2 linked regions of the Oryzias latipes genome follow. The protein of the gene in region 1 interacts with the protein of each later gene in a pairwise test. Links are inferred from orthologs where the notes say so. Each region holds a gene or a part of one and is shown in the gene's direction. Other genes may lie near its edges.

Region 1 (3,569 bases):
ATAGAGCAGAGCAGGGAACTTGTGGCCCACTGATTGTAGTTTCTTTGTAACAACTACAAGCTTTTGCCAACAGCATTTTTTTGTCTGTTCCTGAAGAAATACTCAGAAAATGCTAATTTAAGCTTTTTTTCTTCATACACGTCCTCCATCATCAGAAAATGCTGCACTAACATGTTAAAAACACAACTGTCATGCAAGTTTAAAGGACTTTTAATCTCCTTGTGTGTCTTTTGCAGCCCAAAGTCAGACGCCCTGTCTCACACAGTGATGTTGGAGTGGAAGGTCATACAGTAAACCCTGATCCTCCCAGTGTAAGGCAAAGTCAACTGACACGAACAATTAATAAGTGCTGTTCTTAAAGGTTATATGCAACTTAGCATTTGCAGTAGTATTTTTTCACTTTGGCAAAAAAGTCTTAAAATACTTGATTGTATGTTAAAGCAACTCTTCCCTACCTTTTGAAAATTCCAAATGATGATGTCAAAATTAAAACAAAAGATCAACATTTTTTTTTTTTTTTTAGATCTTCAGGGAGCCGTTTATTGTAAATCTGGCTAAAACTCCGTCCTCTATCACTGCAATCGCCTCCAGTGCAGAAGAGTTTCCGTCCTGTCCTCCTCATGCTGACGTGGATTCCTTCATTTCTTCTACAAATGAGATCACAAATGTACCAATAGCAGAGGAGCCCAGTGATGGCACTGTTTGTGTAAGTATTTCCTAAAAATAAAGGGGATCTCATCCATAACAAACATTGTTTTCCAGATTCAGTGTCAGTTTGAGTTGGTCTAGGTCATCTTTTCTGTATCTATATGGTTCAGAGGCCCCACAGGATTAGCAAGATGTTAAAAAGGCTCTCAGAGAAAAATGTCTTCTGACCAATGGAGGAATAGCTGTTTGTTTCTCTATAGGGAAATTAGCCTCTTGGAGCCAGCGGGTACTTCCTGTTTGGACCGTGAGGGGGGAGGGGACCCTCAGTCCAGTTCTCATTCACAGTCAATGGTCTGAACTGCTTGAGGTAGCGTGACCTTCAGTCACAGCTGTGCTTGAAACCCATTGTTGGTTTAACCTTTAATTCAACAGGTGATGCTAAAACAGCTTCTAGTAGAAGTTTTGGAGATGAATGCAGAGAAGCCAGATTGAGATAGTTTGGACACATGACAGGAATGTACCGTGACAATGTTTATAAAACGATTCGGAGGTTGGAGCTACCAGAAAAGAGGCCTAGATGAAGACCAACCAGAGGAGGTTCATGGATGAAGAGGAGGAGAACAACAGAGGGGTTTGTGTGAAGGAAAAGGTTAGATGAGATGTGGGGACCCCAGAGCAGTTGAAAGGCAAAAAAGTAGAATACTCCGTGGAAGTTTTAGCTGTCACCATTCACACTTTTATTGTTGTCGATAAGCTGTTTTTCTAGTACTGGAGAGAGCAGATGTTTTTATTCCCTGAACTTCAGCTAGAACTGACAGATGTCAAATCTACAAGAAGTCAATTTCATGTGTTGCAGCAAAGTAGCTAAATGTATTTATGCATCTTTTAACAAAAGCCTGCTGGGTTAGATTTTAGATTAAAACATGATTTTTGAACCAAATTAAAGCTAATAGCAAGACTCTGAAGTGTTCCAAAGCTGATGGGTGCTGAAACGCCTGTGAATGAACAAATGGGCTAAGCTATGCTGGAGATGATGTCATGGACCAACTTCAGTATCTTGAGTAAAGAAGAGGTCGCTGTTTTAAGTTCGGTTCAAAGCTACATTTTAGATTTAGATTAAGATTTTTTTTTCAATAGCGCTGGTTGGGGGCGTGTCCTCCTCGTTTCCACTGATCAGACACAGCTTTCCAATGTTGTCGTACTTCTGTCCACAGACTGATTATGCGGTGACCTTTATCCCATCTTATGAAAGCTCCAGGGTTTCCCACCCGGTTCTTATGTTGACGGCTGTGGAAGCATCATAGGAAGGAAGACGCTTTTATTCCTGTCTTCGTTTCCAAACAGGATTTCCTGGCTTGGTTTATCTACTGGATAAAACATGAACTCCCCATCTTTGTTTACACATTAAGCTGACAGGGCCGAAGCCATTTCCATTTACCAGCATTACTGACAGCAATGCTGTTTGGCTTTACACCATGAAAGCATGCAGACCAAAGGGCTGAATTCCACATACCTGGCATGTTCCTTTTGGCTGGACACACCTGATCCAGGTATTTAGAGGTAGGATATCTGGAGGACATGCTGTCACACCGGCGCTTTTTACCTGGAGTCCCCCACTTTGGATGTAGGCCTAAGACCCATCTCTTTAACTTGACTTTTTGCTGTCTTTCTTTCGTTCGTTTGTTCATTTATTTATTTGGCAATGTTGATCACCATGAGATGAAGGGTTGTAGGGGTGTGGAGATATTGTGTAATGGAGAGGGGATCTATTTTTTTGAATAAACTAACTTTTTTCTTATTGTTTATTCTAGTGTACAGCACTTTTTGTTATCAGATATGAAAAGTGCTATTTAAAAAAAAAAACAGATTTGATTTAAATATCAGTGGACTAAGCATCAAACTCTAGATTGTACATGTCTTTATCAATTACTAGTATTTATAGTATTCATGTCATTCAGTTATCGGGGATGGAGAGCAGACTCTCAGCGTTGGAGGTTCAAGTGAATCAGATTTTATCTCGGTTCAACAAGCTGGACATTCTGGAGAAACGTCTGGAGGAACTTGAAAACTGGAAAAGCACCGACAAGGTAAACTAGTATTGACTAAATTGAAAAGAAAATGACGAACTGTACATTTAACCTCATGTTTAGTTTGGGCCATCTTGCACATGGCTGAATTACAGGGGGACAAAGAAGTTATCACAATACCTCGAGAGAGCTGGGAAAACCTGATGGGCAGAGTTCTTCTACTGGAAACCAAACTAGACTTGAAAAATCCAGAAGTAAGAAACTTTGTTGCTTTCCCCGTTGATGCTTTGCATCCATGTCATTGCTTTTCGTGCAGTTTATCTGGGTGTCTGTCATGTGTTCACTTATTTGTAGTGCTGCCATTGGCAGGAAGTCTGTTTTCTCTTCTTAAAGTCCCACTCTGATCATCTTGTGTAAAAAGTGTTCCCAGTGGTCTTTTAAATCTGATGATGCAATTTTTAGCCAAAGTCACAAACCTGTGTGGTTTTCTAGGACGTAGTTTCTGCAGAGCGGCAGGTAATCATCAGAAATTTGACTGAGTTGTGGGCGGGACCATTGGCAAGAAGCAAGCCCGCCTCCATGTTCCATCCCCCATCTGTTTACGTGCTCCCCCACTAGCTTACAGCCCCTCACAACCCCAGTCTAACATTACTGGTTCAGCAAAAATGGCGAGACGTAAAGTGTCGAACCAGATTCCAGCTCAGACGAGGAAAACAAAGATGTTTATGGATCTATTTGTCTGCAAGTGCATGAATCGGAGTGGAACGGAGCAGCGACCCCCCCCCCAAAAAAAAAAATAAAGCTGGGTTTTTTTTCTTACATGAGTGAGTCTTTTACACAAGGCAAAGCGCGGCTGCATATGACAGTTGATCAAATACTGCAGCCTCCATGTTT
Region 2 (3,785 bases), on another chromosome or scaffold:
TCTGTCACGGCAACCATGCATAGCGTAGCGCTGCGGCGTGTCGCACAAGTCAGAAGAGTTAATAATTAAAGGATAATAAGTTTGACAGAACACTTTCCATTGTCTGATTTTGATGCTGTATTGAAACTTTAAAAATTAACAGATTCAGATGACTTCATAAAACAAAATGACAAGAACTGAAAGTTTGGATGAAGATAAAAGTGTTTGGCAGCAAAAATTTAAGGAGTTGAATACGAAAGAACAATAATAAGGAATATTTACACTTGAAATTGTACAAAACCTACTTTTATTTTACAAATTTGTTTTATTTTGCTGCTAAATTTGACTGATTGATTCTTGGTATTTACTTTTCCTTTTTAGTTCTGAAATTGTACTTACTACATATACAAATACCTGTGTTTCTGCATTGTTACTTGTAAAAAAAAAAAGCAATAAATCTAAATCTATTCTAAATCTAATCTAAATATGATGGTTATCATATATGAAAACTAATGCAAAAGTCCAGTGACAGGGTCATTTCTAAGAATATGTCATTTGAAAAGGATTTTTTCTATCAGATAAGCAGTGAAAGGGCGGACTGCCTTTTGTTGGAGTCCCTCTTTAAGTGGGGGGGGGCTCCAGAACAGGCAGTGCCGTTCATGGAGTTGATCATTCACTTTCTTGCTCAACAATACAACTAGTAATTGTGCAAAAACGTCAATCAAGTTAATAAATCACAGTTGCTCTATTAGAAATGGAAAAGTTCTACTTATGCAATTCTGATTAAAATATCATTTAGGACCTTTAACTTCAGTTTCTTCATTCAGTTACTTTTTTGTGCCTAAAATATCTTAATTGTATTACTTCATGTTGCTCAAAATTGGAGTAGAAGCCAGGGGGAATGTGGAGCAAAGGGCTGTTTGGAGCTGTCTCCTGCCTTCCTGTATGTTGTCAGTGATCCACGCTCACATTCGTAAGGCGCAAAATTGCACAAAATTGTCATTTAAGGCAAATTTCAGCTAAAAAACGCTTCCCTCTGCTCCTGGAAAGTTCTGACTGGGAGCTCTCTCTCAGTGGGGAGTTTCATTTAGAAACGCCGGTACGAAAGGACATTTTATCTTTGGGTACAGCTATTTAAAGACTCTGTTTTGCTATTCACAAAAGTCCAAAGACCGGAGAGAGTGCTGCACAGGGAGGTGCTGGGAGAAAGCTGGAGGACGGAGAGGGGAGAAGGGAGGGTGAGGAAGCAGAGGGAGGGATGGGAGAGACCGGCCTTTTGGGTTTCTCATTAGTTCAGCGTGGTTCTCCCTTTCAGTTTTTTTTTTTTTTTCTTTAAACGCCCGCCCACCAACCATTATCAGCACCGGCCTTATATATGCAGCCTGATGCTGTTGTTTACGATTACACACACTTTGCAGCTCAAACCGTCACACAGCCACCACCATGAGGGAGTTCAAGAGCAAAGATTTTTGGAGGGCCGTTCTAGCCGAACTGGTCGGCATGGCCTTCTTTATTTTTCTCAGCATCTCTGCAGCCATTGGAAACTCCAACAACGCCAACCCAGACCAGGAGGTGAAGGTGTCGCTGACCTTTGGATTAGCCATCGCCACTCTGGCCCAGAGCTTAGGCCACATCAGTGGAGCCCACCTGAATCCCGCCGTCACCCTTGGCATGCTTGCCAGCTGCCAGATCAGCGTCTTCAAGGCAGTCATGTACATAGTGGCTCAGATGCTGGGTTCAGCCCTCGCCAGCGGCATCGTTTACGGGACGCGTCCTTCCAACACCAGCGCCCTAGGGCTCAACTCTGTGAGTAAAACTTTTTATATCCCCTTTTCTTGACAGCAGAATTTGTTTACCTAAATAGGATGCACGACAGCATGGAGAGGTCGCCATCCTTTAAACGCACACCTGTCCACGTTGCATTTTAAGGACAGTGCATTTAAATGCAACGTGGAGAGGTGTGCAGGTAAAGGACGGCCCCTATAGACAGAACCACCGTTTTTTGTTTGGCAAAAAAAATCTATTAAAAACTTGTAGCTTCAGTGATTTTATGACTCTACTACTGCAATAATATGATAGCATCAAGATGTCAGCATAAAGCCAGTGAAGGGAAACTTTCCATTCTTTCCATTCCAATGTCTGAATTTTGTCCCCCCCCCCTAAAAACCCACAGCTTAACGGTGTCACCCCCAGCCAAGGAGTGGGCATTGAGCTTCTGGCCACCTTCCAGCTGGTGCTGTGTGTCATTGCAGTCACTGATAAAAGGAGGCGTGACGTCATGGGCTCTGCACCCCTGGCCATTGGCCTCTCAGTTTGCCTGGGACATTTGGCAGCTGTAAGTTACACCATCCCCAAAAATGTTTGTTCAAGATTGACCCCAGTGGATTTTAGTGTGGTCCACCAGGTGAATAAACCGCCTTTCATTGCTCCAGAATGACTTCATGTCTTTTTTTTTTTTTGTGATCATAGATCAGCTACACAGGCTGTGGCATCAATCCCGCCCGCTCCTTTGGCCCAGCTTTGATCCTGAACGATTTTACGGACCACTGGGTAAGTTGGAGGGAGAATGAGCCCCAGCAGACCTCAGACAGCTGAATGTGGGCTATTTAGCAAACCCAAGTAACTCACTACACACATAAGTTAATCAGTGTTTGTGGCATTTCTGTGACACAGTAAGGACTTGAACGTTACAAAGTCAGTGCAAAAGCTGATATGAGTTATCTGTCCTAGGTGTACTGGGTGGGCCCGATGTGTGGTGGTGTAGCGGCGGCTCTGGTGTACGATTTCCTGCTGTCCCCCAAGTTTGATGACTTCCCTGATCGCATGAAGGTCCTAGTCAGCGGTCCAGTGGGAGACTACGATGTAAATGGAGGAAACGAGTCTGCGACTGTGGAGATGTCTTCAAAGTAGCTGCAGTTGTTTTTTCCCCCCACGTCCTTGTAAATGTCTATACTAAAAAAAAAATCAATATGTACAAATTTAAAATTCAAAAGCTTTGAAATTTAGTGCAGAGTTTTAACGTTGTTTTGAAAAAAACCAAGGAGGATTGTCGTCTACGGGTCAGCTAGAGAGGCTGTCTAAAGTCACTCCTTTTATCAACGCAGCACAAGCTCTTTATCAAACCGCTGCTGAAGTTTGAAACCCCGGGCGGGACGTTTGCTGATCCTTTTTCTCCATATCAGTATTGTATGTTGAAGCCTATTTTGTATATTACCTGTTTCACTTATTCTTATTCCTGATGGATATTATATTGTGTGCACTCTTTTGTCTAAAGTTTTTTACGTAAAATAAAACACAATGTGAGAATTTGTTGTTGTCGTTTCATTTATTATTCAAATTTTCTTTAATGTTTTTTGTAATACTATGAATTCATCCCAAACACAAAAACTGCATGACATAACATGCAAAAAGTTACCAACAACCTGATAGAGTTCCTAGAAACACACAACTCTCAGCTGTAAGTTTATGATCTGTCAGATTAGATTATGCACGAGTGATTATGAAAATAAAACACAGCCAAAGAAATGATCCGCCTTACTCACGACTGCCCTTACGGACGGATACGGGCCTGCACAAAATTTGAGTGAACCTGTAGAGTGAAATAAAAAATGTTAATGAACATTCTTTTAGAGAACACTTATGCAACACGTAAGGGTGAAATAGGTGGGAAGCAGGTGAACGCTAAGGACTGCACAGGGAACCTTGTTGGTGCAATAGATAAGTGCGTGCTCCTTGCTCCTTGTCTAATCAGGAAATTAGACAGATTGTAGTTCATGTGGACATCTTACAGGGGTCCCACGGGCACG

Evidence for each region.
Region 2: the proteins of cep44 (region 1) and aqp1 interact in binary tests that used the Homo sapiens proteins (3 or more experiments, as listed by UniProt). The link is inferred for Oryzias latipes from reciprocal best matches to the Homo sapiens genes CEP44 and AQP1.

Annotation. Positions count from the first base shown.
Region 1 is NC_019859.2:27,430,363-27,433,931, reverse strand, and holds part of cep44 (centrosomal protein of 44 kDa), read left to right. Parts: intron 1-236; coding exon 237-311; intron 312-523; coding exon 524-706; intron 707-2,606; coding exon 2,607-2,735; intron 2,736-2,798; exon of another isoform or gene 2,799-2,830; coding exon 2,831-2,929; intron 2,930-3,569. UniProt on the Homo sapiens protein: Centriole-enriched microtubule-binding protein involved in centriole biogenesis. In collaboration with CEP295 and POC1B, is required for the centriole-to-centrosome conversion by ensuring the formation of bona fide centriole wall.
Region 2 is NC_019875.2:28,339,741-28,343,525, forward strand, and holds aqp1 (aquaporin-1), read left to right. Parts: upstream 1-1,360; 5' UTR 1,361-1,422; coding exon 1,423-1,785; intron 1,786-2,152; coding exon 2,153-2,314; intron 2,315-2,448; coding exon 2,449-2,529; intron 2,530-2,709; coding exon 2,710-2,889; 3' UTR 2,890-3,285; downstream 3,286-3,785. UniProt on the Homo sapiens protein: Forms a water channel that facilitates the transport of water across cell membranes, playing a crucial role in water homeostasis in various tissues.